Linked DNA regions of Elephas maximus indicus. The protein of the gene in region 1 binds, or shares a complex with, the protein of each later gene. Links are inferred from orthologs where the notes say so. Each region holds a gene or a part of one and is shown in the gene's direction. Other genes may lie near its edges.

Region 1 (6,865 bases):
CACACATATTTTGGTTGTTATTACTGTTATTGCAAAATTGTATATTATAGCATTTACTGAAATTATCTCTTTTTCTTGTATACTTCTTAGTGTTTTCATTTATACTGGTCAAGCTGTGCAGACTTCATGCATATTGGGTATTGTCTCTCCCATCGCCAAAAATAACAAGTGTCTAATATCTAGAAAGTGATTCCCTCTCCTTCCCCCCTCCTGCCCCTGGTAACCGTCAAAAAATGTTGCTTTCTGTGTGTATATCTATTCTTGACTTTTCATAATAGTGGGACCATCCGATATTTGTCATTTTGTGATTGACTTATTTCACTCAGCATAGTGTCCTCCAGGTTCAGGCATGTTATGTTTTGTGGACTCCTCATTATTCTTTATTGTTGCATAGTATTCCATTGTATGTATTTACCACAATTTGTTTATCCATTCATCCGTTGATGGGCACTTAGGTTGTTTCCATCTTTTACTATTGTGTATAACGCAGTAATCGACATAGGTGTGCCTATGTCTATTGAGGGGCAGTCTTTTGAAAAATGCTTCATCATCACCACCCTTGACCATACAGAATATATTAAACGGAAAAACAACAGTACAGACAGTTTCTGGATTATGAACAAGATCCGTTCCTACATCTGTCTTTAAGTCAAATTTGTAGGTAAGTTAGAACAGGTACATACCATTCTTGTTTAGCATCAGTTAGTCAAATTTTTGTCATAGTAAACAGTATATATTTTACCTTTCTATGTTTTTTTTTATGTGTATAAAGAAAACCCTGGTGGCGTAGTGGTTAAGTGTTACGACTGCTAACCAGAAGGTTGGCAGTTTAGATCTGCCAGGCGCTCCTTGGAAGCCCTGAGGTAGTTCTACTCTGTCCTATAGGGTTACTATGAGTCAGAATTGACTCAAAGGCAATGGGTTTGTTTTGTTTTATGTATATAAAATACTTAAGAAACAGTTCCAAATACACTAAAACATCTTAAACATTATAATTCTGATAGTAATACAGTAATAATAGAAGTAACTACATACGGTACTACAGTGAAGAGAGAATCTGTGTGTGTGTATGTGTACAGGTATACGGTACTGTAAAAAAATAAGAACAAACAGTTCTTACAAGAGTTTAGATAGAAAAAAGATCATGATAAAAGGTTAATACTCTCATTCCATCAATGTCTTGCATACCGGAAGGGGCATTCACAAGGTAACATTATGATAACGTTAATAATTGGATGATGCAGGAAAAGATGATGGAGAAATGGCTACTGTTGAAGAGGGTAGGCCTGGTGTTGGAAAGGACGGGCCTGGTGCTGGAGAGTCAGGGTTTCACTCTGCACCTGGAGGGTGGAGGTTTACTACTAGAGACAACTTCTTGAAGTAGACATCAAGGGTGGTTTGTATATAGCTTTTCTTTTTCTCGTCATAAATGGCCTTGTGGCAGTTGAGGCCCTAGGTAACTGTATGGTAAACTTTGGTGAACCTCTCTGTATTAGGATCTTGCTCCTCTGACCTTGCCATCCCTGCTTCGATGAGATGAAAGGCTTCAGCTAACTCTTTTGTGAAAAACTTTTCCGGTTTTGGAGTTTTTAGGTCCTGGTCTTCTTCCTCAGAGGTTAACATCTGCTGCTGTGGTACATTTTGTCCCTCTTTTGAAATTAGGTCCTTTCAGGCATTTTTTTCCAAAACAAGCCAGTCTTGTCTACATTAAATATTTGGTCTGGCAAATAACTTCCCTCCTCAATAATTTTTTCAAATGTTTCAGGAAAATCACTCACAGTACTTACATCGGCACACACTGCTTCACCTTGCACCTTAATGTTATGTAAATTTGCCCTCAGTTTGAAATAATGGAACCAAACCAAACCCATTGTGTCAAGTCAATTCTGACTCATGGGACTCTAGAATCAAACCCTACTCACCAGGAGTTCTTCATCACAATCACCTTCACATGCTGCTCGTGCAGCTTTCAAATCATTAAAAAAACCTTTGAGCCTTTTTAGGCACTAAAATAAGGCTAATAGGCATATTACGCTCATTTTGATCATCTCACCAAATTATCAACAGTAATTTGTTGTAATTGTAGCTTTCATTGGGGAAGACAGAGCCTTTCGCGTGCTCCATCAGTCTCACTTTAGCCTTTAAAATTGTTCCCATCGTTGACCGACTGTAGCCTAACGCTTTTCCAGCGACCAATGGCATTTCAGCTCTTTCCAATCGCTTTATTATTTCCACTTCATTTTCAGTTGTGATGGTTTACCTTTTCTTTGATGCATCCCCAGCACTTGTATTGGTTTTACACTTTGGAAGCATGGTAACAAGGGTAAATTAAGAAGAAAATTTAAGCCATAATATCAAGTTACACGCTCAACAGTGTAGGCAACGTGCTCTTTCTCCTTCCTCCAGCCCCCATCGGCTCAGCCCAGCAATGTTTTCCTGAGCATCACAAAGTAGTACATGTGTTCATTATTATGAACCATTGTATATAACTCAAATTTTTAATACAATAGGCTTTATGGCAGTCTGTTCTTAACTACTAGTCTATAAATTGACATTCTTAATTCTGGGACTTATTGTATCAACAACTAAATGGGAAAATTCTGACAGTGGAAAGAAGTTATCCATGCCCTAACTAATTTATTTTGCTTATAGTTTCTTTGTTATGTATGCACAAAGTTGATAATATGAATAAAATGTTTTTGAAAGTCTAAAAGCTCTTTCAATAATTAGAAAGTAGAACTTCTAAGTGATAAAGCTTGTATGATAGTTTGACAGCATTTCTTTTCCTTTCTTGTACTGCATAAAATAACAGTACATCTAACAACTGAAAAAAATAACTGAGGGTATCTTAAATTCAGTAAAATAGATATGTCTAATAGAAATGCCAGACGAAGAGAACAGAGTAGGGAAAGGCAATGTTTAAAGCCATTATGGATGAGAAGATTTTAGACTTGATGACCGCGACGAATCTTCTGACTCTGGAAGCACAAAATATCCTCAACAAGATAAATAAATCGAAATCCACCCCTAGATACGTGGTAGAAAAACTGAAGAACGCTATATACCAGGATAAAACTTAAAAGCAACTTAAGAGAAAGGCCATAAGCAAAACAACAAAGAACAAACCAGGAGGAAAATACACAAGAAAAAAAAGTCTAGTACATAATTGAGAATTTATTTGCCCTTGCTATGCGTGGAAAGGTGGTTTAAGAGATGTGCCGGGGAACTGAAATAACTTTTTTTTTTAAACGTAAGGTTGTACACTTATATCGCTTGACCCTTAGGAGCACGTCACTTCTATAAGGTGGCGCAGTGGTTAAAAGCTCGGCTGCTAACCAAAAGGTTGGTAGCTCGAATCCACTAGCCGCTCCCTCTAAACCTTGAGGCAGTTCTACTCGGTCCTATAGAGTCGCTATGAGTCAGAACTGTCTTGACGGCAATAGGTTTAGGTGTTTTTTTTTTGATACACTCTTCCGACTACAAGTCAGCTCTTCCTTCCTTGTAGGCGAGATTTGGGTTTCGCTTTCACTTTCTTGGCTGGTAACTTTCCACCCTGAAGCGGGAAGCTGAGGAGACACGGCGACTCTCTAGTGACCACAAATCTGGGGCTTCACGACCCCCAGCCCAGGCCTGGGAGCCCCTGACGCCCCAACTCAACCCGCGCCTAGGGTCAGAATCACCGAAAAACCAAGGGGAAACACGTCGCCCCGCCCCCTGCCGAGGCGCGGGATGCTGTCCCCGCCCCCTGGCCTGCACCTCCAATAAACGCCCAGGTGGGCGGGCCTCTCAGGGAGCAGGGAAACGATTGGCCCTGGAGTCGCTCCACCTGACGGTGGGCGGGGCAGCGTGGTGACGTCTCGGCGCGGGGCGCAGGGGCGGAGAGTGCGCGCTCTCTGACTCGGCGGTATTAAACGGTTGCAGCGCCGGCGGGTTGGTTGTGGTCCTCCTAGGTTTCAAGCTTCCGGAGGTCGCTCTGATCGTCCTACATCCACCCGCCTGTAGCCGTGTCGCTGTGACTCCGCCACCATGTTCGAGGCGCGCTTGGTCCAGGGCTCCATCCTGAAGAAGGTGCTGGAGGCGCTCAAGGACCTCATCAACGAGGCCTGCTGGGACATCAGCTCGAGCGGAGTGAACCTGCAGAGTATGGACTCGTCCCACGTCTCCTTGGTGCAGCTCACCCTGCGCTCCGAGGGCTTCGACACCTACCGCTGTGACCGCAACTTGGCCATGGGCGTGAATCTCACCAGGTGAGCCGAGGGGTGGTGAGGAGCCGGGCCTTCGCCCCCTCCTCCCCGGACCCTTGGCGGGAGTCTCTGAGCCGGGCCCTGACTGGCTGGCGTGGGTCGTCCTCGCCCTCTCATTGGCCGGCGGCGCCGGGGGGCGGGGCGCGGCGGGGCGCGCGGTTCGGGAAAGCCCGCGCGGAGGGCCGCGGGAACCGGGTGTTTCCGCGCCAAAGTCACAAAGCTGGGTGGTGGCGGGAAAATGACCGGCTTCTCTGCGATGCCGGGAAAAGGCTGTTCCCGAGCTCCCTGCTCGTTAAATGCTGGCCGTCTTGGCTAGGAAACGTTGGTCGTGGTCGACTTTTAACCACCCTGTAGCGCGCCCTACTGAGAATGTATCTCTCTGTTACCCCGATGATTCCTGGTCCTTTATTGTTTAATAAGGCCGTAGTAAGCATCTTAAGATGCTGGGTTTGTGGAAAAATTTCTCCAGGGCAGTTGCTTTCAACTTCATTGAACGCTACCCACCGGAAGACATTTTATGCTGCTGTAGTACTTGGAAGGAGCCCCGGTGGCGCAGTGGTTAAAGTGATTGACTGCTAACTGAAAGGTCTGCTTCTGTAGAGATTTATAGCCTTGAAAACCCTATGGCTTCGCTGAGTCGGCATCACTCGATGCCAGTGGGTGGGTTATAGTACTTAGAGTCCTGGTGGTGCAGTGGTTAAGCGCTCGGCTGCCAACCAAAGTCGGTGGTTGGAACCCACCAGCCGCTCTGAGGGAGAAAGATACGGCAGTCTGCTTCCGTAAAGATTACAGCTTTGGAAACCCTGTCGGGACAGTTCCACTCCCTTGTGGGGTCGCTGTACGTCAGAATCGACTCCATGGCAATGGATCTCTTGTTTGGGTATCTAGTACTTAACGTATATTCACATTTTTAAAATAAAAGCTTGTGAGAAATATTTACCATACTACATGCGGTGCGTACATCTAACAGGTTTATTAGATAATTTTTCCTGATCGTTATGGCCCACTAACTTCAGCACTAATTAAAGGGGTTTGCAATTAGAAAATACTGCTTATTTACGTATACGAAGAAATGGAATTGCTGGTCATAGGGTGTGTGCGGTTTTAATTCAGTTATGTTTAGATACTGCCAGATTGCACTCCAAAATGGCTGGACCAGTTTACATATTCTCCACTAGTTTGTTTGTTCTCCCAATTCATCAGACAACCTAACGGGTGAAAATGGTAATTCCTTATTTATTTTAATTACATTAGAAATCTTACCCTTTTGAGAAGATGGTATTGGTTTTAAACCCTGTGTCTTGTTTTCTAGCATGTCCAAAATACTAAAATGTGCTGGCAATGAAGATATCATTACACTAAGGGCTGAAGATAATGCGGATACCTTGGCACTCGTATTTGAAGCGCCAAGTAAGTCATACTCTTTACTGAATTATGCCAGAGAAAATTAAAAGGCAGTGTTATACTTACAAGCTTGGATGCTTTTCAACAATGTTTGTTGGTTTTTGTTTTTTGGTAGACCAAGAAAAAGTTTCAGACTATGAAATGAAGCTAATGGATTTAGACGTTGAACAACTTGGAATTCCAGTGAGTATCCAAGTTTCTGATTGTTGAGTAGACCATACACATGCTAATTACACAAGCGTTAGTGTAATCAACATTAGTTGTAATCAACATTAGTTGTAATCAACTTACATAGTCAAAGTCTACTTATCCACAGAACTTTTTCTAGAAATATTTCTGCTGTGCATATTCCAAAGTGGGCTTAGTATCTGGACTGACATATCATTTTATTAAACCACAGTAGTCTAAAATCTTTAGCAGAAATCATTGCTGCCAAGCATGCATGTTCAAATTAATCTGCGTGCATCTCTGTTGTTTTAAATTCTCTAATGCTTGGTTTTTATTAAGAGTGGATTTTAAAGTTGTGTGAACAGAAATTGGTTAGGGTTTATCAACATCTGAGGAGAGAAAAAAGGAGTTTTGGTGTTTAAAATGCTTAGTACCATATTCTCTTATTTTCTTGCAGAAGGAATTAGGTATGGTTTCTATGCCATACCCTAACGTCCTCTTGATTTAGCCCGGATGGATGATTAGCTAGCAGGAGGCTCTTGTCCGTGGATAGTGCATTTACTGTTAAAGGTTTATGCTCTGATGTTTCTTAATACAAATATTCTGATAGCATATTTGGTTTACATCTGCATTTATTTTTTTGAGTGGTTGGAGTATATTATGGAATTACACAGTGATATTTTAGAGAAAATTTGTTTAGATGTTGCCTCTTAAGTGAAAGTGCCAAGTTTTTAATTTTGAGCAATTAACCTTTAAATTTGTTTGTTTTATAGGAACAGGAGTATAGCTGTGTAGTAAAGATGCCTTCTGGTGAATTTGCACGTATATGCCGAGATCTAAGTCATATTGGAGATGCTGTTGTCATTTCCTGTGCAAAAGATGGAGTGAAATTTTCTGCAAGTGGAGAACTTGGGAATGGAAACATTAAATTGTCACAAACAAGTAATGTCGATAAGGAGGAAGAGGCTGTAAGTAGTTTTTAATAAAAAATATATTTTGAAGAAAATTGTAATACTGCTTAATATTAGGTTAGTTGCTGAAATTAAGGA
Region 2 (7,843 bases), on another chromosome or scaffold:
CAGACATCATCATTTTCCTGTTGACAGTGTCCTCATTTGGGGACACTCAGATCCGAATGACATAGGCATCGCTGTGGCTTAGGTGTCGCACCCACTTGTGGGGGTTGGCGTTGCCGCAGGGTCTGAATGCAAGCCTGAGGAAGCGAACCTGGAGGCCGGAGCATGTGTGCCGGGGAAGTTCAAAGGAGAGGCTTGCAGGGCCCAGCCCTAGTGGAGGGGCTGAGGTGGAGGGCCCATGGCCAGCAGGCCCAGAGAGGCTGGGGACATCCATCTGTGAGGAACAGGGGTGGGAAGAGGGGTGCTGAAGGGTTGGAGAGGAAAGAGGGCAAGGACCCCAAGAGGCCAGATAGGAACAGTGCCATTAGGAGGGATATGCCAGAGGCTGAAAATGAAGGTTCTTTGGGGGGAGGGCGTTCAGAGAATCAACAACTGATACCTGGAAAAGGCCTGACAGCTGAGAGCCTCCTTGTACCCGAGGTAGGTCCCAGTGAAGGGCTCCTTCCCCCAGCTCTGCCTTCTGATCTGGGCTGCTCAGCTCCTGAGAGAGGCTGGTGAGGAAAGGTGCTGAGCTCAGCCCCCACCTTCCTGGGGGGTGAGCCAGTTGTACTTCAAAGCTCATGCTCTCTACTCCCCCTGTTCTTCAGGGAAGCAGGGGAAACCACCCACACGCACACTAACCTGACCACCCCTCGTGGCAGGGGAAGGTACAGCCTGATGTTGAGAGCTTGGCTGCAAAGAAGAAATGAACCAAGTCAGCCCCAGAAAGGTACAGTCACTTGTCCCCATCGTTCTTTAATGTCACAACCGGAGTACAACACAGGTGCTACCATCCCCTTCCCAAACTAGGGGACTCTATGTTAAAAGGGATTCTGAGGCTGATGGGTGCATATGAAAAGGCAGGAGATATTTTGACCCTGTGTCCTATTCACATAGCTGAACTAGGCCTGGCCAGACCCAACTCTTACCTCTTTGGAGGTAGATCACATCGTAACTTCAGATAAACCTGGAGCCTGGATGAAAGGGTAAAACACCTTTACCGAGAACATGTCCTACTGGCATCTCACCATTCCCCACCCAGACCTCCATGCATGGCTGTGTAATTGTGCCCCAGGGAGAGAGAAGGTGCTGAAATCCAGCCCAACTCCAGCAGCCAAGCCTCTCATGGGGCTGAGTCCACATGGAGGAAAGTGTGCCTTTTTCTAATTCTCAATCTATTATCACTACCACTGCCACTCCTCCACAGTAAGTCCTGGGAACACATATGTATCGGCTTGGGTTCCAGAGAAGTTCTACAACAGGGAATGATCTCACCTGCCTGAACCTCGGTCCCACTGCACAGAGGGAAAGAGCCGGAAAGGGAGAGGGGAGGGGAGGTCATCTGAGAGTTGGTACCGCATTACAGTCAGCTGAAACCAGAGAGAAGCAGAGGTTGGTTCAGTCTCCTCACACCTGAACTGCCTCCTTTTCCGACAGTAGACAGACTATACTGGGCCACCCCTATCCTGACCTCTCCTTGAGGTGGCTGCAAGCGGAGGATTCGATGAGACTCAAACTCGTCCAGATGCACAGAGCTGTGAAATGAGACCTCATCAACCCGAATTCCTGGCCCATAACCTGCAAAGAGAGAAAGACCCCTCTCTTAAGACATACTTTGAGAAGGAAGAGCAGGGAGAGGGGGAGGATGTCTTTAATACACTTAAATGCCCTTCCCCTATTCTAAGATGATCCAGTTTTCTCTATGAAATCTTGGCAATGCCTACACCTAGGAGGGAGCCCTGGTGGCACGGTGGTTAAGAGCTCGGCTGCTAACTAAAAGGTCAGCAGTTCGAATCCACCAGCCGCTCCTCGGAAACCCCATGGGACAGTTCTACTCCGTCCTATAGGTTCACTATGAGTCTGAATCGACCCAACGGCAACAAAAAAAAATTTTTTTAAATACCTGTGAGAGAAAGGCTTTCTCCTTACCTCTCAGTTCTGACTTCCCCACACAAAATTCCTCTGTCAAACCAATGCGCATCTCTGTTAGAAAAAAACGTCAGAAAACTTAACAACGCCATACGTACCACCAAGGAGCCTGTCCCTACCCAACCCTGGGGCCAGCCTGTGGCCTTCTCACCAGAGCCGCTGGGCAGAAAGCTCTTGAGTCGGATCTCTCCCTGCACATCCACCTTCAATAGTGAGCCCTGAGAGTGACAGGGAAGTTAATACCCAGAATTTTGTCCACCCCAGCGTGTTTCCCATATACCATCTGTCCTCAGCTCCAGGGCTAGGGATCCAAACTTACATTAGATGCTATCAGTACAGACAATCTCTCGACCACATCCAAAAAAACTTCATTCTTTTGATTCTGAGGAAGAGAGGGGATTTGGGTGGTTGGAGGCCGAATGGCCTGTATTCTAAAACGGGTAGGCTGAAAGGATCGCATAGTTGAGGCTAGGGCCCTGGGGTGGGGACATGGGGGTGAGGGAAGGAATACTCAGCTCTAGGGGTAGTGGAAAGAAACACCTGGATCTTTGACTCTGGAGTCCAGAAAAAAACTGGGAGAGTCTGCCACTGTCAATTCTTTCCTCACCTGGTCAGAGTGACTGGAGAGGATGGGGCGGCTGGCTGCGCTGCTGGGGGCCACTTTGCTCTGTTGTGTCTCAGCCCCGAACTGTAAAACACCCAAAGCAATCAATCCTTCTCGGTTACTCCTAGCCAACCCTCCTTCTCTTTCCTCATTTTTTATACCCCCTCCACTGACCAAGCCAACACTGCTGAGGTCAAAGAGGCTGAAGGGCTTGCTGACCACAGCTTCCGTCTGGATGAAGTTCCTCAGCATCTCCATGGATGTGGTCTGTACGTAGCCATAGTCCTATTGGTGATGGAAGGAGGATCGCTGGGTGGTCAGTAGGGAGAAGGGGTGAAAAGGAGCAGGAGTACTTAGCTTCCCAACAATAGGATCCCACGTAGAGGAGTGGATATGTCAGGGGAACAGGGACAAATGAGGGATATCCTTGAGCTTACCAACACTTCATCCAGTAGTTCATAGACAAGAGCTACATTGCGGGAGATGGTCCCCTCGCTCAGGGAGCCACAGTAATCACCCAGGAGGGTGGCTAACCTGAGGCAAAAGAAAGAGGTGTGTATATTCTCCTTCTCTCAGATCCCCACTCCCAGATGCCCAGCCCAGCCCTCCTCACCGGGAGAGCAGCTCTAGGAGGCTGAAGGGAGAAATGTTTTCTGAAGTCGTGGCCACCAAATAGAGGCCGCTGTGTCTGATATGAATAAAATGACGGCCATCGTGGTGCTGAGAGGCAGAGGCAGGAAAAGAGCTAGTGGTTAAGACCTAAGTTCACATCCTAGCTTCCTTAATAGCAGTGCAATTTCAGGTGAACTTGAAACCATCCTAAGTCCCAGCATCCTAAGATGCAAACGGGGTTAATAAAGAGTGCCTACCCCAGAGTTCTGAGAATTGAGGGACAAGGAACTGTGCGTGGTATATTGTTAGCACCTAATGAACTTTGATTAATATTATTTGGGAGAATGTTCTCACCAAATGGAGGCTCTCAGGGAACAGCCCCGGGGACTAGGAGGCGCCCACCTGTCCCCGCCATCTCCTACCCCCCCCATTGCGGGGTGGTTACCATGACAACCGGGGACTCGTCTCCGGGCAGTCCCGTCAGCTTCCGGTAGAAGAGCTCGGCCACATCCCGGCCACCACTGTCCCCGCGGACTGACCGGGTGGAAGGACAGTTAAGAAGCTGGCGATACACCCTGTCTCTGGGGCACCACTCCCACCAAGTCGCTCCACCCCCGCCCCGCATGTCAAGGATACAGTCTTTGTAGATGAGCGGGTCCCCCTTCGAGGACAGAATGAAGAACTGGGAAATCATGGTCGTTCTGGAGAGGAGACAAGACTGCGAGACCTCGGCCTGCCCCGCCCTGCGGCTCTGGAACAAAAGGACGCGCGTGGGCTGGGCCTTTAAGAGCGACTCTCCTCCGCCCCCGCCGGCTGGGACCGCGGGAAACCGGGCGCCCGCCCCGCCTCGCCCGGACTTCTCCACCCGACCCCCCCGCCTCCTCCGTGCCACTCTGCCCAGGCTAGGCCGGTGATTGGCCCAAGCGGGGGGCGGCTGGGGCCTGCCGCGAGTGGGAAGGGCGACAGGCCTTCCTTTCCAATTGGCCCGCACGGAGTGGCGCCGCTCACGTGGGGGGCTACGTTTCGCGCCAATTTCAGTTGCTCGAGCGCAGTCAGCCGCGCGGACGTTCTTTGCTATTCGCGGCGCGAGTCTCCTCGGCCCGCCAACTGCTGCCGCGCGCCCCTTGGCAGGGATGGCACTTAAGGACTACGCGCTCGAGAAAGGTAAGGGTCTGCAAGCCCGGGAGGGGCGTTCTGCACGGGAAGCCTCCAGGCCAACAGCTGGTGATGTAGGCTGGGAACGTGGAGGGCCGGGGTCGGCGGGCTCTGGGGCGTGTGAGGCCAGGGGTACGGTCGGGAGACGGCGAGGCTGAGGCAGACGGTCTGGGAGGCGCACAGGAGCACCGGGGTCGAAGGAAGACAGATAACCCTGTCCAGGAAAGCTCGGGGTCCTGGTGGGGGTAAGGGGCGGAGAGCCCGGCTGGAGGCTCCACAGGGAAGGTCACGCCCAGACGAGACCGAGACCTCAGGTGACCCTGTTTGAGGGGCTTTTCGGCCTTAGGGATGGGGACCCCCGGTTCGCTTCCCGCCCCGCTTTGGGCACTCTCGAATTCCCGCGTCCTACGGGAGGCGCGCCGAAGCCCCAGGGGCGGGAAGGCCAGAGCCGCTGCGCGCCCGGATTGGCTGTCGTGGGCCAACCTCGCAGCGGAAATGAAGACAGGGCGGAAGTTGCGCGACTGGCTGGAGGGAGCGTCGTGTGTAAACAGTGTTCTTCCGCGCGGTAGCCTCGGAGGGAGCGACCTGGGGTGGGGCGTGCCTGGAATTGGGGAATTTCGCGGGAGGCAGAGAGAAGAGGCAGTAGTGTGGAACGGCGTGGCCCTTGGCGTGCTGGCCAATCGCCGACGGGCTCCCGCCTCGGGCGGAGGAATCCCGGGCTGTGAGGCGGCTGGATTCGGGGCCCATGTGCTTCTTTGTTTACTAAGAGCGGAAGCAGTGGCGGGGAGAGGGAGTGGGCTGGGAGACGGGCCTAGTGGCAAGAGATCCCGAGGAGAACAGCAATTTATGAGACCGAGAGAAGAAAGGAGATCATATGGGTGGAAGAAAAGCTGAGCACCGACAGGCCTGTGTTGCGAGTGTGGGAGGCCACTGGGGAAAGGTACTGGGAGTTTTAATTACGGCAGAGACTGGAATTTCCCTGCGAGGAGGGTGTCGGGTAATACTCTTAGCTGCCAGGACCACTTAGTCTTTTTTGGTTAAAAACAGACTTGTGAAAAGGAGTTTTGCCCGGTTTGGGGAGTTTTGTAGTTATTTAGGTACTTGCCTAATTAGCGCACAGATTGTTTTAAATGAAAGCGGGTTTCTTAGATTTCCATCAAAGGGATTTTTAGTTAGGTATCTGAAAGAAGGGGTTTTTCTCACGATTTTACATTTATTTTGTAGAAAAGGCTAAGAAGTTCCTACAAGAGTTTTACCACGACGAGGAATCTGGCAAGAAGCTGTTTAAGTATGGGAACCAGTTGGTAAGTTTTAAGATTAGATGGAGGGAATGGGGTAGTTGCTTAAGGGGCTCTAAAAGGTGGCCTGGCTTGTTTCAGCAAGTAAATCTGTCTGTAAATGACACGTTTAGCATGGCACCTAATGCACGATGAGTGTAAAAGTACACTCGTAATAATACTAATAATAATAAAATAATACTAAAATGTCTTAGGAGGTGGGAGGTTGTCTTTGGGGGCAGAGGAGTGAGTATTGCTGTCTCACATTGTTCTTTCTCCCTGTACATGCCCCGAGACTGCTGAGCTCACAGTGATGGCTTTTCATGTGTGAACATTGGTGAACAAGGTGAACTTGGCTCTGAAGTGTTGCTGTCTCTTCCCCACCCCAGGTTCAGCTGGCTCATCGGGAACAAGTGGCACTGTATGTGGACCTGGATGATATAGCGGAGGATGACCCTGAGTTGGTGGACTCGATTTGTGAGAACGCTAAGCGTTATGCGAGGCTTTTTGCTGATGCCGTACAAGAGCTGCTGCCTCAGTACAAGGAGAGGGAGGTGAGTGGTTGGAGGAAAAGGCAGGCCAGTAGACTTAGGTCTTTGCTGAGAAGCTTCTCAGGTGTTTTTGAACTGGCAGGAAAGTGATGGCGGTGACTTCTGTTTGGGGCCCTTTATGCTGCCTTCCTTCTCTGTCCTGCTGCTCATTTTCCTTGTTTTTGTCGGTCCTACTGTAGGTGGTAAATAAAGATGTCTTGGATGTTTACATTGAGCATCGGCTGATGATGGAACAGCGGGGCCGGGACCCTGCAGCTGCCCGCAGCCCCCAGAACCAGTATCCTCCTGAACTCATGCGCAGATTGTGAGTGGCCTCTGGGGAAGAATGTGGCAATTTGTTTAGTAGAACCCTGCTAATAACCATTTTCTCCTTTTAGTGAGTTGTACTTCCAGGGCCCAAGCAGCAGCAAGCCTCGTGTGATCCGGGAAGTACGGGCTGACTCGGTGGGGAAGTTGGTAACTGTGCGTGGGATCGTTACTCGTGTCTCTGAAGTCAAACCCAGGATGGTGGTGGCCACCTACACTTGTGATCAGTGCGGGGCAGAGACCTACCAGCCGGTAAGCATGGAGCGTGGAACACGAAGGCGGTTAACTCTGTTAATGGTTTTTGTAAGAACTATATTTGTTCACTGATGTTTGTTATTTTTTATTTATTACGACACACTTGTGTGCTTAGTTTCCATTCTTATTGGGATATGTAGTGGTTTTGCCATTTGTTTGGTTATATTGGTATCTGTCGCTGTTGATCCAGAAGGGTTAAAAATGTTCTAGACAGTTCCATGATGAGTCAGGTGACTGACGGTAAAGGGGTTTTTATGTTTGATTGTTTTTATTGTTTCTTTTCTCACACCCTAGATTCAGTCTCCAACTTTCATGCCTCTGATCATGTGCCCAAGCCAAGAGTGCCAAACCAACCGCTCCGGAGGGCGGCTGTATCTGCAGACACGTGGCTCCAAATTCATCAAATTCCAAGAGATGAAGATGCAGGAGCATGTGAGTTTGGTGTATGTGCCCTGGGTGGGTGAAAAGGGAGTCTGCTCAAACCCTGGGGTTACTTGCGGAGTGGGAGAAAGAATGAAAGCAGAAAGAGCTGAGGCAAGAGAAGTCACCTAGAGCAGAAAAGAAATTTAACCTCAGCTGAAACTTTCTGATTGAGTGAGGAAAAGGTAAAGGGGGTCTCTTTTGCTCCTCCTAGGGGCTTGTCTGGAGCTGGCTAGGCTGAGAAGCAGAAGAATGGGATGTCTAGGGAGGTGAGGTTTGATCCCGTGGGCTTACATTCTTTTCTTTTTATATGCTCTTCTCTCCCTTAGAGTGACCAAGTTCCTGTGGGAAATATCCCCCGAAGCATCACAGTGTTGGTTGAAGGAGAGAACACAAGGATTGCCCAGCCTGGAGACCACATCAGTGTCACTGGTATATTTCTGCCAATCCTGCGTACTGGGTTCCGACAGGTGGTACAGGTAAGAAAGGGTGTTTCAAATGAGGAAATATTTCTTTTTCTCTTCCTCTCACTCATTGTCTTCACCTCTAGCCCCGAGGAAAATTACTAACAGCAAAATACCAAACAAAATATATAAAGGGCTTTGTTGGAAATCATTAGGGGATCAGGTGAGTGGGACAGGTAAAGGGGTTTCATCCATACCCAGCATTTTCTTGCCATAGGGCTTACTCTCAGAGAC
Region 3 (6,885 bases), on another chromosome or scaffold:
GATAAGGGTGCTCCAGGGGGAGGGAGGGGACGGCCGGAGGGAGGGCCGCAGAGGAGAGTGCCACTTGAGAGGGCATTTCTGAGTTTTCATTCGAAGTCTCCCCCAGACAGCTCCCTAATGAGCTGTTGGGGGTATGAACCCTCCTTTGAGTTCTGCCACTGTGTCCCCTGGGCCTTCTGTGAAGATGCTAGCTCTTTGGCACAGGTCTGCTGGCCAGGGATGGCTCATCAGTCTTTTCTGTGAGTGAGTTTGTCCTTAGTTCTCTGTCCACAGCTGTCTTAGGAGATGCAGTGAGGGGCCGAGTGAGCTTCCCTTGGTTATCTGAGGTTCCACCACACAAGTATGGCCTTACAGTCAGGGGCCCAGGTATCCTAAGAACCTTGGCTACCTGGTACCCTGCAGAGTCCTGGGGGATGTTATCTCTAGAAGTCTATGTTCCCAGGAAGGCTTGGGAGAATGGCGCGAGGGAGAGCCGGCCCTCCTCACTGTCCTCTCCAGATGCCATGCACTGGGGATTAGTTGCACTATCATCTAGGGAGCCCAGAAGTGCACCTGTGCTCAAGAGGATGAACAAGATGGGGGTTGGTTCCCTGAGGGCAGTAGCTCTGCTGGGGTGGGGTAGGAGTGGATATGGAAGAGGGTTCGGTGATGGTGGGAACAAGGTTTGCTGGCACTTGGCCCAACACCCAGGACTCAGGGATCTCCTCGGTATGTGAGGGGATTAATTCAAGCATTCATTTTACACACACACACACACACACACTCTCTCTCTCTCTCATCTACCCCAAATGGGGAAGAGCAAAGCAAGGTGTCTGTTCCCCTTAACCTAGAGGGCAAGGGCAGTGATTCAGGCCCCCGAGCACTCCAACAGGCGGCCCCCTCTCAGCCCCCCTTCTTCTCTGGAGCCACAACTGTCCCTGCCTTTGTCCCTTCAGTCCTTGAGTTCCCTGACTCAGTCTGGGTCCCCCCTTTACGAGCAGTGGACAAAGCCCTTGTCAGTGGGGTGGGGCGGCAATGGAGGGACTGTGAGAAAACTTCAGGTCCAGCCCTTTCTCAGTCACAACTATTGTTGGGTCCCTCAGCCTCGCCAGGTCAGAGGTCACCCCTAGGCCCCTCTCCAACTATATCTGATCTCCAAGACCTGGCTGATGGGGTGGAAACAGTTAAGGAGGACCTTCCTTCCAGCTAGACCAAGTCTGACACCTGGTGGCCAAGGTGAAGAATGGCCAGAAGGGCCCCAGGACTTCTCCAGAGCAGGATGGTCAAGGTAAACCGGGAGGGGACTGGAGGAGGTATGGAGGGTGGTAGTTGGTATGGGACAGAATAGACATCCTGTGGCAGAGAGACCCTGAGGAACCTTTACCTCGAGCAGGCTCCCACTGGCCCTTAAGCCCACTCGACTCGGAGGAGGGGTGTCTGGGAGTGCAGTGAGGAACTAGGAGGAACTGCCAGGAAGAATGCTGGCCCACAGGGCGAGGAATGGGGCCTCAGGCATGTGAGTATGTTGGGGGCTGAGATATCAGTCTGGCTGCCCAGAATCCCCTGAGCTCAGAGTGGGTGGCAGGGCCTGGGGGCCTGAGCAGGGGCTGCTGCGGGAGAGGGAAGAGCAGGGTACGCCCCACAGCCTCTGGGCCACAGGCAGCTGCTTTCTTCCCTCACCTGCCCCCACCTTCCCAGCTCTACCTGGAGTTGCCCACAAGCCCCATCGTGAGCTGGGGGCAGGGAGGGAGCTTACCAGGCGCAGGCGCAGTGCTGAGCTCCCCCTCCTGTCCTGCCACATTGTCTGAGCTAAGTCAGGCCTAATCCCCTTCCCCTCAGAGCAGCCAGCCGCAGGATTCGGCTCTCAGGAAGGTACTGGGCCCCTTCACGCTCCAGCTCTTTTCTCTCCTGGGCTCCCCTTGAGGGTTCCCAGCCGAGAATCAGCGGTCACTCCCGTCAGTCCCATCACCAGCCTCTGGGTGTCAGGGTGAGCCAAGGAACCTGAGCTTGAGTCTCAGGACATGCCTCAAAAGAGAGAGAACTTAGTCCTCAACTCAGACCTCAGCTGGCCCTTCAGCCTGAAGCTGCCACTGTGAGAAGCCCCAGGCCAGCAGTTTCGGGGATGGGCCTAGGACGCTGCCTGGTTAGGACAGGAATTCAGGCAGGTAGGTGATATGAGGCAGACAGGTAGGGGGCAAGGAGGAAAAGACGGAGGTGGCAGCTGAGGGCTGGCCTAGTTGCCAGCGCACCTTGGGGTCCAGATGCCGAGTCAGGGAGTAGGCCCAAGGGACAAGGATGACTCCAGTCATGAGTACACCTTGCCTCGGGGCTATCCCACTGATTGATGGAGCAAGGCCAAGGGACAAGGATGGCTCTGGTCCTGGGTGCCCCCTCCCCTTGTGGCTTATCCTGCTGTCTGATGGGAGGAGAGGCCGCTGCTGCCTGTGGAGAGTTCCCTCACTCTGGCCAGAAAGCCGGGCCTCAGAGTCCTGTGCTCAAGCTGACCACTCTGATTCTCATTCTTGTGGCTGGGGGGCGGGGGTGAAACCCAAGGGAGACATCTTCTGGCTGGGTGCAACAGGCCGGCAGGGTCTGAGCCAGGCAGAGCTGGAGGCTGCTGGCAGGGACAGCCCAGACAATGCCCACAGAGCAGGCTAGAGAGCCAGAGGCTGCAGACGGAGAGGAAGGCATAGGCCCAGGCTGCAGGAGGAGTCGCTGTGGCTGCCCAGCGGCACACCCCATTTCACGCTCCCTGGGCGGTGGCAGGGCCCCACGGCTATCAGCTTTCAGGGGTGGGAGGGATCAGGAATGAGGAGGGGTCTGCCCCACCCATGGCTCCCTACTCCCTCAGGGCTTTGTGGACTCAGGAGGTGGGTGGTGGCAACAGCTGGGACCCTGCGTGCAAGTGTACCTCTGGGAGCAGTCCAGGAGGTTCTTTCTGAGGCCCCCAAGAAGGGGTGGCCAGTCCCCCAGAGCCTAGCACTGTCCCTCCACAGGGCACTCAATGCGCAGCTGGACACAACACCTGAGCCCTTCCCAGCCCCGTGGAATGGGCTTCCCTGCTCCCGCCCCAACTCTGCCGGGCCCCTGTCTCCCTGGATGTGGGCCCCACTTAGTCCATGAGGCAGATGGGGGGATTAGATGGCCCAGCCCAGACAATAAAGGAGGGAAGGGCCTCCACCCCGGTGCAGTGCACCCACAGTGCTCACTCCCCGCTCAGCCCCCCTTAGGGAAGCTGATGGGGAGCCAGGAAGGAGGAGGCCCCTGAAGGATGGCCTGCTCCTCCCCCCCCCTTTCTGGTGTTCCCTCCAGAGCATTCACTTCTCCTACTTCTACAAAGACCACTGGCCACAGGTCCCCCAGGGCCCAGCTCTCTTCCTAACACAGTGCACCCAGAACCCAGAGCCTGGGAAAGCAGAACCAGAGTCCTCTGAGCTGGCCTCACCCTCCAGCCCTTTCTGGGGAGTGGAAAGAAGGGCCCATGGGATCCCCCCAGGGTGATTAGAGCTGTGCTGGGCCTGCTGCAAATTCCCAGACTCCCACTGGTTAGCACTTTCACCCGCTGCCAGGAAGTTGGTGAGGGGGAGGCGGGAGTAGGGGTGAGTCAGCGATGACAGGAGACCGAGGGACAAAGGTCATGGGTGGAGAATTGGGAGACACTGTTTACAGCAGCTCGCATCCTCCAGGAGGTCTTCGGATGCTAGCCCAGCCCTGGATTCTACAGTCTCTGACACTCCTTTTCTCCTCCTTTTTTTGTCTGTTAGGAATCATATCCTGGCCTTGATGATTTGCATGCTTTGATCGCCCTGACGGCCTGTGAGCTCCTGGAGGGCATGAAGGCCCGTGGTTAACAGCAGTGACCATAACGTATCCACACTTCCTACTTTGGAAAACATTCTTACATCTATTTAATTAATACGTGGGAAAGTGCTTGGAATGGGACTTGGCACATTGTTAGGACTGTTGTATTTTCTGCTCGCTTCCTCACCTGACTGCGAGAGACGTGGCAGCTTTCCCCAATGAAGGCCTGGGGACCCAGGCAAGTTAGGAGAGGACTAGCACCTCAGCTCTGCCTCCTGCGCAGTATGCCATTGTCCTGACTAGTGGGGCGGGCGGGCTGGGGGCCCCAGGAGGGCTGACAAGACAGGCGCTGGACTGGACTGAGGGTGGGCAGTCTCTGGGTTCAGACTGTGAGAAAGGAGCTCCAGAACCCGCGGGCTCTTCCAGCCAGGTCTCCTGGGCCCATGGGAACGGGGTGGGAGCAGAGAAGGGGCTGGATTAGCGCGGACTCTCCTCGGACCTCCAGAACTGCCCCCACAACGCGCCTGGGCCAAGAGGCCGGGCGGAAGCCTCGCGTGGGGCTCTGGGGAGTTACAAAACGGCCACGGGGATTACTGAGGCTGAAAAGATTTGCCTAGGAAGGACAAACGGGAAGTGAGAGGCCGAGGATAACGCTCCGCAAGTCCCTGGAGACCCCGCTGCGGACAAGCGGGGACAAGGGGGGCAGGCCGAGGTGGGGAAGTCTGGGGCATCTGACAGTTCCTTTGGCCCAGCCAACGTGCCCCCTCCCGCGCCGCCCGCCATTGGCTGGAGCCAGGGCTCCGCCCTGCAGAGGCGGCCTGCCATTGGCTCAGGCTTTTCCTGTTTGCGTGCCTGTGGGGGTGGTGAGGGGCGTCATCCCTGGAACCTGCCGGACTTCCTCCCTCCGCTCGTCTGGGTCACCGTGTCTGCCCGTCGCTGGCCGCTTCTCCCTCTCCGCAGCTGTCTCTCTCGCCCTGGCCTGTCTCGCCCCTTCCCCGCAGTCGCCTCCTTCTCCGCCTGCCTGGGTGGCCGCCATGGGCCGGAAGCGGCTCATCACTGACTCCTACCCCGTAGTGAAGAGGCGGGAGGGGCCCGCCGGGCACAGCAAGGGGGAGCTAGCACCCGAGCCAGGTCTCTGAGGTGTGGGGCGGCGGAGGAGGGGGAACGGGAGGGAGGGAGGGTGTAGAGTGTGGTCCACTCCCCACTCCCGGTCTGGCTGCAGGATGGCGGGGGCAACGGGCTGGAGAGGCCTGGGGCAGCAGATGGCCGGGAGGCAGGGGCGGCCTGGCCTGAGTACGGTTTCGCCTTGCAGGCGAGGAGCCCCAGTCCCCCAGCGGGGATGTGGACGAAGAGGAGCTGGAGCTGCTGAGGCAGTTTGATCTGGCCTGGCAGTACGGGCCCTGCACAGGTGAGCACCCACTCAGGCCCCTCGAGGGGCCCTCCTGAGCCAGCCCTGAAGCCACCCGAGCCATGCCTGCCTCTCTGGGGCACTGCTTCCTGGGACTAGGGTGTGAGGCTCTGGACACACCCCAACACACATTCTCTAGCCCTGACTCTCCCCTGCCCCGTGAAGTCCCTGTGTCTTCTTCCCATTGGCAGGGATCACACGGCTGCAGCGCTGGCATCGGGCAGAACAGTTGGGCTTGGACCCTCCCCCAAAGGTGCATCAGGTGCTACAGACCCACCCCGGAGACCCCCGCTTCCAATGCAGGTCAGAGACAGGTGGTGGGGGACACCCAAGGGAGCCAGGACCTTCTCCAGGCCCACTGCCCTGTTGGCCTGGGTGGGGCTGCCTGGCCTCAGGAGAAGGGGATGCAGGCCAAGGGACAGGACCCTCCAGTTGTTGCTGAGCATACAAGAAGGCCCTGAGGTCGTGGCTCAGGAGGGCAAAAGGTTGAGCTGATGCTGGGGGAAAGGGTACACCCAGGGCCCAAGGACTGTTTAGGACTGAGGGGCTGGTCAAGGGCAATAGCCAACGGTCAAGGACTGGAACTGGTAAGGTCAGATCACCAAGGGACTTAACTGACTCTCTCTTCAATTCCCCTCCCTCCCACGCACCTTGCCCAGCCTCTGGCATCTCTATCCCCTTTGAGGCACCGCCTGCTCAGGACCGCCCGCCCAGGACCTCCTGCCCTTGGCAATCCTGCAGCCATGGAGAACTTTGGGACAGATGGAAGAGGCAGTTGCTGCCCTCGGCTCAGCGCTGCTGTGGAGGAACTTGTGGCAGGAAAAGCCTCACGGGGAAGGCAACATGCTGAACCTGGAGGTCTCCACGGCCCAGCCCCTCCATGTAACCATCAGGCTCCAGGAGCCCCCCTCAGAGACTATGCAGAAGAAGCTGCACCTCTCCTAGATGGAGACTGGTCTGTCTGGACAAGGACCTGGCCATGACCCTCCTGAGCCTGCCACATGTCACCCTAAACACTAGGGCTCCTGGGGACAGTGTGGCAAATTAGGCACAGCCTTGGCGGAAGCAGACTTGGGCGGCTGAGGCAAAGATGCACTTCCTGATAAGGTTGGCATCTAAGGGCAGAGACTGGCTGAGTTCACAGGGCAAGGAGTTCACTAATGCTTATCAATAAAGAACCTGGAATCCTGACCTCCAGTCCCTTAATGTGACCTTGCTTTGGCTGGCAGTTCCCAGCAAGTGGGTAGGTGAGAGCAGGCCCATACCAGGCCTCCTCTTTTTCTCCAAGTCTCCTGGGTGCCTATACCTCTATGCTGCCGAAGCCCCAGGGCTTAGAGGGAAGGAAGAGTGCTTTAGGAGACATGGTCCAAGCCAGAGCTAAGCAGCCTCTGGCACCCCCTAGTGGTGCATAGGGAAAGTACTCTTCTTTAGTCATTTCATTGACCAGCCAGGGGAAACCTGACTTGTGAACTACCTAGCCCTGCCCAGTGTTGCCCACTCCAGAGGTAGGTAGCTCCTTTGACAGAGAAAGATCCATGGACCCATGGCTCACACGTCCAGACAGATCTACACATTCCCAGCATGCACCTCTGCTTCCCACGTTGGGGCCTACCTGGATCCAAAGCAGGGGTGGGGGAGGGTCTCAACCTGCAGGACCTGCTCAGAGGTGGCCACCATCTGAGGGGGCTATGGTAAGA
Region 4 (7,943 bases), on another chromosome or scaffold:
TTGTAGAGCAGAACAATATTTAATTCAATTTCATCCATCCATCTATTCATTCAGCCATTCAGTCAACAGCCAACAAATATTTGCTAAGGGCCTACCTCTTGCCAGCTATGGCCACGCTGGATGCTGGAAATCCAGGGGTCAAAAGACCTTTGAAGAATTCTGATTCCATGGGAACTCAGGCTCTACTGCATGCCCTCCTATAGATCCAGGCCTGCAGTTTCTGAGGCAATCCTGACTACGGAAATTCTAGGCGGAAGAGACCCCAGAATGCCTGTCATACTTTTTTCTAACACCCACCACCACTTCCAACCCTGTTGCTTAGACAGATATTATAAACTTCATGACCACCCCCACCCCCACCCACTATTCATTTCCACAAAGTTAATTGGCCAGAGGTGTCTTCAGTTCCTCTTCTCACTCTTCATTCCTTAATTAACTCCAATCTGCCTTCTGTGCCTCTCACTTCTCTGGCTAAGGTCCCCAGAGGCCTCCCAATTCCAAATCCATTGTATTTCTCTCAATCCCTATCTAACACCATTTGGGGGAAGCATTTGACACTGTTGATAACTCCCTCCTTCATACTTACTTCTCCTTGTTTCCACACTGCACCTCCTACCCCTTCCTTCTCCTTCTCAGTTCCCTTTGTAGGCCTTTCCTCTTTAACTGCAGATGTTCCCTGGGATTCAATTTTCAACTCTATCCCTGGGTGATCTCATTGCCTCTCATGGCCTCAGTGACTGTCTATATGCTGTGGGTCTCCAATCTAAGTCTGTGCCTAAGCACAGACATATATCCCACAGCCTACTGAACATCTCTAGCTGGGTGAGTCCTATTCTTCTCTTATGACATGGTTTTGTAACTGTCTATTAACTTATTTGTCTCCAACCAGGGCCATATGTGTCTTGCACTCTATTGTTTTTCATAGAGAGAGAGAGAACACGTAGAAGGAACTCAATGAACAATTGAAGAATGAATGAATGAGGAACCTGTCCACTGGATGTTCAGTATTCTGAAAAAAGATACTGATAATCAGAGATAAAAAGATATGCTGAGCTAATCATGTTCATTAATTTAGGAATTACAAAATGGAGAATTGTTGAGAAAATCTAAAGTTACTGACAAGGCAAAAGCCAGAGGTAGAAGTTGAGATAAGCCATGGCAACCTACAGCTGTTTTAAATTAAAATTATGAGGACGTAGAATCTGTGGTTAAACCAAAGAAGAAAACTGAAAAGTCATAAGAGGGCAAAGCAACGGTACCAGGAGAGAGAGAGAAACGATGAGGCAAAGAGACCAGCCTGGCCCATCAAGACTGTGTCTGGAATGGCATCTGCCCCTTCTTTGCTCACTACTCAAGCTGAGCCTACGTAACATTTCGCCAGGAAATCTTCCTAACCAGCAGTGTTTGGAGGCCAGAGAGCAATGGTCTCTGAGGGTAGGATCATAAGCTTCTTTCTATCTCTGAGTGCCAGCCCCCATACTTATTAGATCCAGGAATGATTTACTTAAGAGAAAATTTTTCATAGCTGATTTTGTTATTTTTACTGTCACCATCATCATTCCAAAACACTCCCCCAGCCCCCAAGGAAAGAGAGAAAGGACAATAGTATACAAAGCAACTGCAAGATGGGGGTGGGGGTGGGGGTCCTCCTGGTCATTTTCTGAAAGTCTGAGTCAGCAAAGGTAGAAGTGTGAACTTCTGGGGATTGAGCTAATGAATCAGGAGGCTGAATGAAGTGTGAGTGTTTCTGGGGGTAGGATGGGGTAGCCATGGGTGTGAAACAGGGGAACCAGTGTCTGAGTGTTGTCTTGTCTTGGCTTATCCACTTTGTTTGGGTAACTGAAGGATTTTACACTGATTTTTATAGAACTGATAAGGTTTTAGAATAAGCACACCTGGAGGTTGGTGTGTCCTGGCCTTAGAGGAGGCTGTACATTCCACAAAACAGTCTATACAAGATACACATGTTCTCATAAAAGCGGAAAATACAGGCTTGTTGTGTGTTGTTTAAAACTATAACAATGACAATACTCAGAATACATTTCTTATTTTTGCCTAAAGTAAGCAGAGGGATTACATGGTGTCTAGCCCTGGATATCCAAGTCCAAAGCTTTCCCCATATTTCCTCTGATCCTCAGGCTGGGTTAGGTGCCTCCTCCAGGTTCCCATGGCACCCTGAGCTTCTTTAACACTGTATTGCTGTTGACCCTTCACAGAAACTGTAAACTTCCAGAGACAAAGACCATGATGTGTTCCCATTAGGCACATAGGGCCTGGTATGCACCAGCCCTTTAGTAATGTTTGTTGAATGAATGAATGATCAAATGACTAAATTCCTTGGTCAGTAAGTCCCGGGCCTCTGGAATGACCCTTGGATAGTTACGTGACCACTGAGTCATAAATCTTAATCTTGTACTCCCTGGTTTGGACCTGTTACCCTGCCTGGAATGCTACCTACCAGAGACCTATGGCAGCCCTAAAGCCCAGTTGGCTGATGAGAATCCTAGGTTGCTACAACAGATCCCCTTTTTCGGTCAGAGGCCTGGCCCCCTTCCCCTACCCTGAGTCTGGGGTTCTTGTCTGCATGTAGGTTGACCACTCTTCACCCCCACTCTGATATTGAGCCCTATCTATATTTCCCACCCCATGTCAGGATCATTAAGATTCTCCGGTGTCAATAATTTCTAGGATAAAGTGGGGATGGAGAGAAAGAAAGGGGAGGGCCAGGACACACCAACCTAAGGTTTCTAACACCAACCTTAGGTTCCTTTTTGAGACTTAGGTGCTATAGAGTCTTGATCCTATGGCTCCCACTGCTGGTATCACCTGACACTGGCATCCCCAACAGTTTTGTCTGGCCTCATTTGGTTAGCAGATACTTCGGTTGGTTGTTTTAGTTTCTGGAGAACTGCTTTTGTTCTCAATTCTGGGCACTGATGTCAAGTCTCATCCTTAAGGAATGTTAGGTTGTTGTTAGGTGCTGCCCAGTCAGTTCCAACTCATAGTGACCCTACACACAACAGAATGTGACACTGCCTGGTCCCATGCCATCCTCACATTGTTATGTTTGAGCCCGCTGTTGTAGCCACTGTGTCAATCCATCTCCTTGAGGGTCTTCCTCTTTTTTGCTGATCTTCCACTTTACCAAGCATGATTTTCTCCAGGGACTAGTCCCTCCCAATATCATGTCCAGGGTATGTGAGATGAAATCTCATCATCCTTACTTTTAAGGAACATTCTCACTGTAGTTTTTCCAAGATAGATTTGTTCATTCTTCTGATAGTCCATTGTATATTCAATATTTTTCACCAGCACCGTAATTCAAAGGCATCAATTCTTCTTTGGTCTTCTTTATTCACTGTCCAGCTTTCCCATGCATATGAGGCAAATGGAAACATCCTGGCTTGGGTCGGGTGTACCTTGGTCCTCAAAGTAACATCTTTGCTTTTTAACACTTTAAAGAGGTCTTTTGCAGCAGATTTGCCCAGTGTAATATGTCATTTGATGTTTTGACTACTGCTTCCATGGGCATCGAGTGTGGATCCAAGTAAAATGAATCTTTGACAACTTCAATATATGTTTATCATGATATGGCTTATTGGTCCAGTTGTGAGGATTTTCGTTTTTTTTACATTAAGGTGCAATCCATCCTGAAGGCTGTGGTCTTTGATCTTCATCAGTAAGTGCTTCAAGTTCTCTTCATTTTCAGCAAGAAAGGTTGTGTTATCTGCATATTGCAGGGTGTTAATGAGTCCTCCTCCAATCCTGATGCTGCATTCTTCTTTATATAGTCCAGCTTCTTGGACTATATGCCAAGCATACAGACTGAATAAGCATGGTGAAAGGATGCAACCCTGACACACACCCGTCTTGATTTTAAACCACGCAGTATCCCCTTGTTCTGTTTGAATGGCTTCCTCTTGGTCTATGTACAGGTTCCTCATGAGCCCAATTAAGTGTTCTGGAAGTCCTGTTCTTCTCAGTGTTATTCATAATTTGCTATGATCCACGTGGTTGAATGCCTTTGCATAGTCAACAAAACACAAGTAAACATCTTTCTGGTATTCTCTGCTTATAGCCAATATCCATATACCTTGTTTACTGGGACTGTAAATTTAAAAAGTGACTTTGATTCTGTAGGAAGGTACTGTGGGGTTGGGTGAGAGACAGATGCCAGCCATACCTAGAAGCAGAATGTTAGATGTGAAAAAAATGTGAAATTATTCACTACAAATTATCTGGTAAGCAAGGTAAGCACCAAGTTTACCTTTGTCTGTTTTTTTTTTTTTTTTTTTTTAATTGGACAATCTACCCCTGCCTCTACCGGAATCACTCCCCCTCTTTTATCCCATCTGGAAAACCTTTCCTAGTTTCTCAATTCTAAGGGATCATAACAGGCAGTACTTTATCGCAGCTGGCATCACTCTGTCCTAAAATTGTTTATTTCTCTGTATCTATTGTTCACTGTTGTTTCCTCAGTGCCTAAGAAGTGCCTAAAATACAATACCCAAACCCATTTTGCCATGGAGACTCACAGCTACCTTACAAAACAGGGTAGAACTGCCCCCATAGGGTTTCCAAGGCAGACTGCCACATCTTTCTCCCGCGGGAAGGCTGGTGCGTTCCAACCCGTCGACCTTTTGGTTAGCGGTCTAGCGTTTAACCACTGCGCCGCCAGGGGTCCTTTGAAATATAATAACCCAAAACCCAGTGCCGTATATAATACAAAAAAAGATAGGTACTTAGTAATAAATATTTGTTAAAAATTCATGAAAGGGCATGAATTGTTTCATCAATTTACCGGTGGAATGACTACGGCTCCTAAAAGTGAGATATTTCGCCCAAGGTCAATCACTAAACGGTAGTCGAGAGCCTGAAACCCAAGTTCGATATACACTCTCTCCCAGACCACGCCTCCTCTTCCGGTACCTCTCTTCCGCCGGGTCCGGCCCGCTTCCGGCGCGGTCTCCGGAACTAGTTTGACTCTCGGGCGGCCGCCGTAGTGCGTTTCCTCCGTTGCCGTGGGAAACGACCCCAGACCTGGAAGGGAGAGTGCAACGACGTTTCCCGCCGGCGGGAGTTGCGATTGTGGTGGCGTGAGGGCCTCCGCAGGCGGCGGGGCGCAGAGCTTCTGCGCTATGGCGGACCAGCTTTATCTGGAAAATATAGACGAATTCGTCATGGACCAAAACAAGATTGTGAGAAGCTAGGGCTGGAGAGTGCGGGCAGGGTACTGGGGTCCTGCGCTCGGCGAAGGCGGCCTGGGGCCTTGGTCCCCTCTGCTTGGGGCCTCGTGGGGTCTGGTTTAGGGAAGGCAGGGCCCCACAACTAGTGCCCCAGGGCTCGCGAAGGCTCGCGGGAGAGGCCGTTCGGCGCGCGCGCGCTAGTCGGAGCCCCTTCGGTGGGCGTGTGGGGACTGTGCACCGGGCAGGGGTCGCAGAGGGAGGGGCGTTGGCTAAGCACATTTTTCTAAGTCGCCCGTACACTTATCTTGCAAGGTGGTTGCCGTTTAAAGCCCCAGTTCTGCAGTTGAATAAATTGTGCCTTAACCGGCTTAGGTGACAAGCTTAACCAACAGCCGGTTTACTCCTCCTAAAAAGCTCGGTATTGATGTAGGCTTGGCCCTCCTCACAGCGTTGCTGGAAACGAACCATACGATGGATGTGAATGTACTTTGCAAACCACTGTTGCATGTGGAGTGTGAGTTAGGGCTCTTTGGATACACATTGCATGTAATCTTTACAGCGAGCCATTGAGAGGTCGTGATAGTATCCTTAAAAGACAGCATTGAGGCAGAGAGGCAAAATAAGGGGTAGTAAGTTTTCGAACCTAGATTTCTGCCGCCAGTGTTTTCTTCTTCATTACACTGCCTTTGTCTAACCTATGTAGGTCTTATAACTGTTGTAAGCTCAGCCATTTAGAATTGGAATAGACTTTGAGAAGAGAGTGACAGACATACTGAGTCAAGGAAGGGTGGAAGGAAGATCAAGGTTTGATGGCAGCCATTCCCCAATCTGACCTCTGATACAATATTCATCCACTTTATTAATTTATTCCCTGATCCCTACACCACCTATACCCTTTAGTGTTTGTAACCTGCAACTTTGTTTAGAAGTTACTGAGTCATACACTTCAAAGTAATCTAACTTCTAGATGAATTTTAGGATAGTTTTGGGTGGTGACCCCAGGATTTCACAGAATGTGAAGAAGGATCTTGGTAAAACTAGGAGTGTGGGGAGGAAAAGGAGTTTTTTCCTTCTGTATATATTCAGCCTTTTTAAAAAGCCTCTTTTGTGCTAATTAGTCTGTGCAACAAGCTTCTCAGTATTTGTAAGATAAATATCCCGATCCTTTCTGACCAAATGAATGGTTCTTGGCAAAACTAGGGTGTAAGCTATCATAATTTATAAGGCATAATCATCTGAAAACAGGACACTTTAAGAGCAGACCCTTGGGACTAATCTGTACTCTGGAGTCATCTAATAAAACGTTTTAAAAATTGCTCCTTTTTGCAGGTGACATACAAATGGCTGAGCTATACACTAGGAGTTCATGTTAACCAGGCCAAACAGTAAGTCCAATTTACTACTGATTTTAATACTTTGTAGTGTTTTGTTTTTAACTCTACAGGTAGCCTCTAGATTAGAGCTATTCCCCCCTCCCCACCCCAGGTGAATGGGAAAGGATACCATTTTTACCACCTTTTACTACTTTTGTTTATCTTAAGAGGTAGGTGAATTGGTACACAAATATATGGTGATAAATTTACTGGATTTATTTACAGTCTCTGGCTAGCATCACTTAATTATTTTGCATTTATTAAATGGGGCAATCGACTCTGTTTACATCTTAGATTTATATTGCCTCTTAGCTTACATTTCCATTACGTTTTCACGTAAGCTCTTTAGGCTCATCTCTGAATGCTATTGAAACACTTCTATAATGAGGTCAACAGGTGTTTGACACAAGCTGTGTAACAGTGTAAGGTGGGAGAATTATTTAAAAAAGGATGGTGCAGAGTATTTCCCTTCTTGAATTTTGACATGTCACCTTTCTTTGCTGAAATTTGTGGTCCAATTTGAGGCCAGAAGTGAAAAGGAAAGCTTTTGAATTAATTTTAACATTTTTTGACCTGAAAAGTGTACAGATTTTATCTGTGTTCCAAAGGGAGGAAATGATGAGGACATTATATATATATACTTATATATATATATATATATATGTATGTATGTATATATAAATACCCATTTAGTTTGTTTTGTTCCTAAGGGTGACCTGGTTTTTCTCTGTAGGAACCTTCTTAGAGTCATAGGAATAATTTGTAAGTCTTAGGAAACTGCTGCTCCCTAGAATAGGCTGTTTTGGCTTTGTTTGGGTTGCTATTTGACAGGCCTAGGAGTCTGATTTTGACTGTGATTTCATGCCCTTGAGACCTGAAACTCTTGGCCCAGGGATGGATTTGTACTGGTTTTGACTGTCTGAGATTGTTGTTGCTAAGACCAGTTCTGGCCCAAACCCAAGAGGTTCAGGTAGCTGTGGGAATGGATATCTTTTAGAGTTATTGTTCATTGCAGTTATGCGTGTTCAAATATGAAATAAGGTAGCTGTTCTAGGGTTGTTGAGTTAACAACGCATGACTGAAGACTGGCGTTCCCGGAAGGTGAAATCAAGTTGCCTGCAATCTTACGGTAGCTGCCATGATTATCTGTAATTTTTATAGCATTATCACATTGTCTATCCCCTGCCTCTCTACTCAACTTCATCCCATATCACTCTCTGCCTCACTTGTACTTTAGCCATATTTGCCTTTCTGTCCCTCAGATATGCCAGGCTCATTCTCACTCTAGGATCTTTGCACTGTTCCCTTTACCTGGAATGCTCTTCTCCCAGCTGTCCCCATCTTTTCAGATTTCAGCTCAAATTTCACTTATTACTTCCTCTAA

Evidence for each region.
Region 2: PCNA (region 1) and MCM7 share a complex: the UniProt entries of both Homo sapiens proteins name them as parts of the replisome complex. The link is inferred for Elephas maximus indicus from reciprocal best matches to the Homo sapiens genes PCNA and MCM7.
Region 3: the proteins of PCNA (region 1) and POLD4 are in contact, whole or in part, in a crystal structure (PDB 6HVO), measured with the Homo sapiens proteins. The link is inferred for Elephas maximus indicus from reciprocal best matches to the Homo sapiens genes PCNA and POLD4. Residues at the interface, in NP_002583.1 of Homo sapiens: Met40, Ser43, His44, Val45, Ser46, Leu47, Val123, Glu124, Gln125, Leu126, Gly127, Ile128, Pro129, Gln131, Tyr133, Asp232, Val233, Pro234, Tyr250, Leu251, Ala252, Pro253, Lys254, Ile255; in NP_066996.3 of Homo sapiens: Lys4, Arg5, Leu6, Ile7, Thr8, Ser10, Tyr11, Pro12, Val13, Val14, Lys15.
Region 4: the proteins of PCNA (region 1) and POLD3 are in contact, whole or in part, in a crystal structure (PDB 1U76), measured with the Homo sapiens proteins. The link is inferred for Elephas maximus indicus from reciprocal best matches to the Homo sapiens genes PCNA and POLD3. Residues at the interface, in NP_002583.1 of Homo sapiens: Met40, His44, Val45, Ser46, Leu47, Glu124, Gln125, Leu126, Gly127, Ile128, Pro129, Thr206, Ala208, Asp232, Val233, Pro234, Tyr250, Ala252, Pro253, Lys254, Ile255, Glu256, Asp257; in NP_006582.1 of Homo sapiens: Ala453, Asn454, Arg455, Gln456, Val457, Ser458, Ile459, Thr460, Phe462, Phe463, Gln464, Arg465.

Annotation. Positions count from the first base shown.
Region 1 is NC_064843.1:43,716,062-43,722,926, reverse strand, and holds the start of PCNA (proliferating cell nuclear antigen), read left to right. Parts: upstream 1-3,861; 5' UTR 3,862-4,026; coding exon 4,027-4,247; intron 4,248-5,556; coding exon 5,557-5,654; intron 5,655-5,763; coding exon 5,764-5,831; intron 5,832-6,589; coding exon 6,590-6,784; intron 6,785-6,865. UniProt on the Homo sapiens protein: Auxiliary protein of DNA polymerase delta and epsilon, is involved in the control of eukaryotic DNA replication by increasing the polymerase's processibility during elongation of the leading strand.
Region 2 is NC_064830.1:91,609,210-91,617,052, reverse strand, and holds the start of MCM7 (DNA replication licensing factor MCM7), read left to right. Parts: upstream 1-4,829; 5' UTR 4,830-4,831; coding exon 4,832-4,901; intron 4,902-5,262; exon of another isoform or gene 5,263-5,276; intron 5,277-5,560; coding exon 5,561-5,640; intron 5,641-6,002; coding exon 6,003-6,167; intron 6,168-6,343; coding exon 6,344-6,468; intron 6,469-6,541; coding exon 6,542-6,722; intron 6,723-7,019; coding exon 7,020-7,157; intron 7,158-7,474; coding exon 7,475-7,624; intron 7,625-7,826; coding exon 7,827-7,843. Other genes in the region: AP4M1 (AP-4 complex subunit mu-1), read right to left, coding at 47-271, 437-548, 679-729, 966-1,010, 1,312-1,406, 1,508-1,614, 1,966-2,019, 2,117-2,183 and 7 more. UniProt on the Homo sapiens protein: Acts as a component of the MCM2-7 complex (MCM complex) which is the replicative helicase essential for 'once per cell cycle' DNA replication initiation and elongation in eukaryotic cells.
Region 3 is NC_064825.1:130,392,289-130,399,173, reverse strand, and holds POLD4 (DNA polymerase delta subunit 4), read left to right. Parts: upstream 1-4,625; 5' UTR 4,626-4,814; coding exon 4,815-4,911; intron 4,912-5,092; coding exon 5,093-5,188; intron 5,189-5,379; coding exon 5,380-5,630; 3' UTR 5,631-5,847; coding exon of another isoform or gene 5,848-5,872; 3' UTR 5,873-6,379; downstream 6,380-6,885. UniProt on the Homo sapiens protein: As a component of the tetrameric DNA polymerase delta complex (Pol-delta4), plays a role in high fidelity genome replication and repair.
Region 4 is NC_064825.1:47,903,926-47,911,868, reverse strand, and holds the start of POLD3 (DNA polymerase delta subunit 3), read left to right. Parts: upstream 1-4,942; 5' UTR 4,943-5,138; coding exon 5,139-5,198; intron 5,199-6,515; coding exon 6,516-6,571; intron 6,572-7,943. UniProt on the Homo sapiens protein: Accessory component of both the DNA polymerase delta complex and the DNA polymerase zeta complex.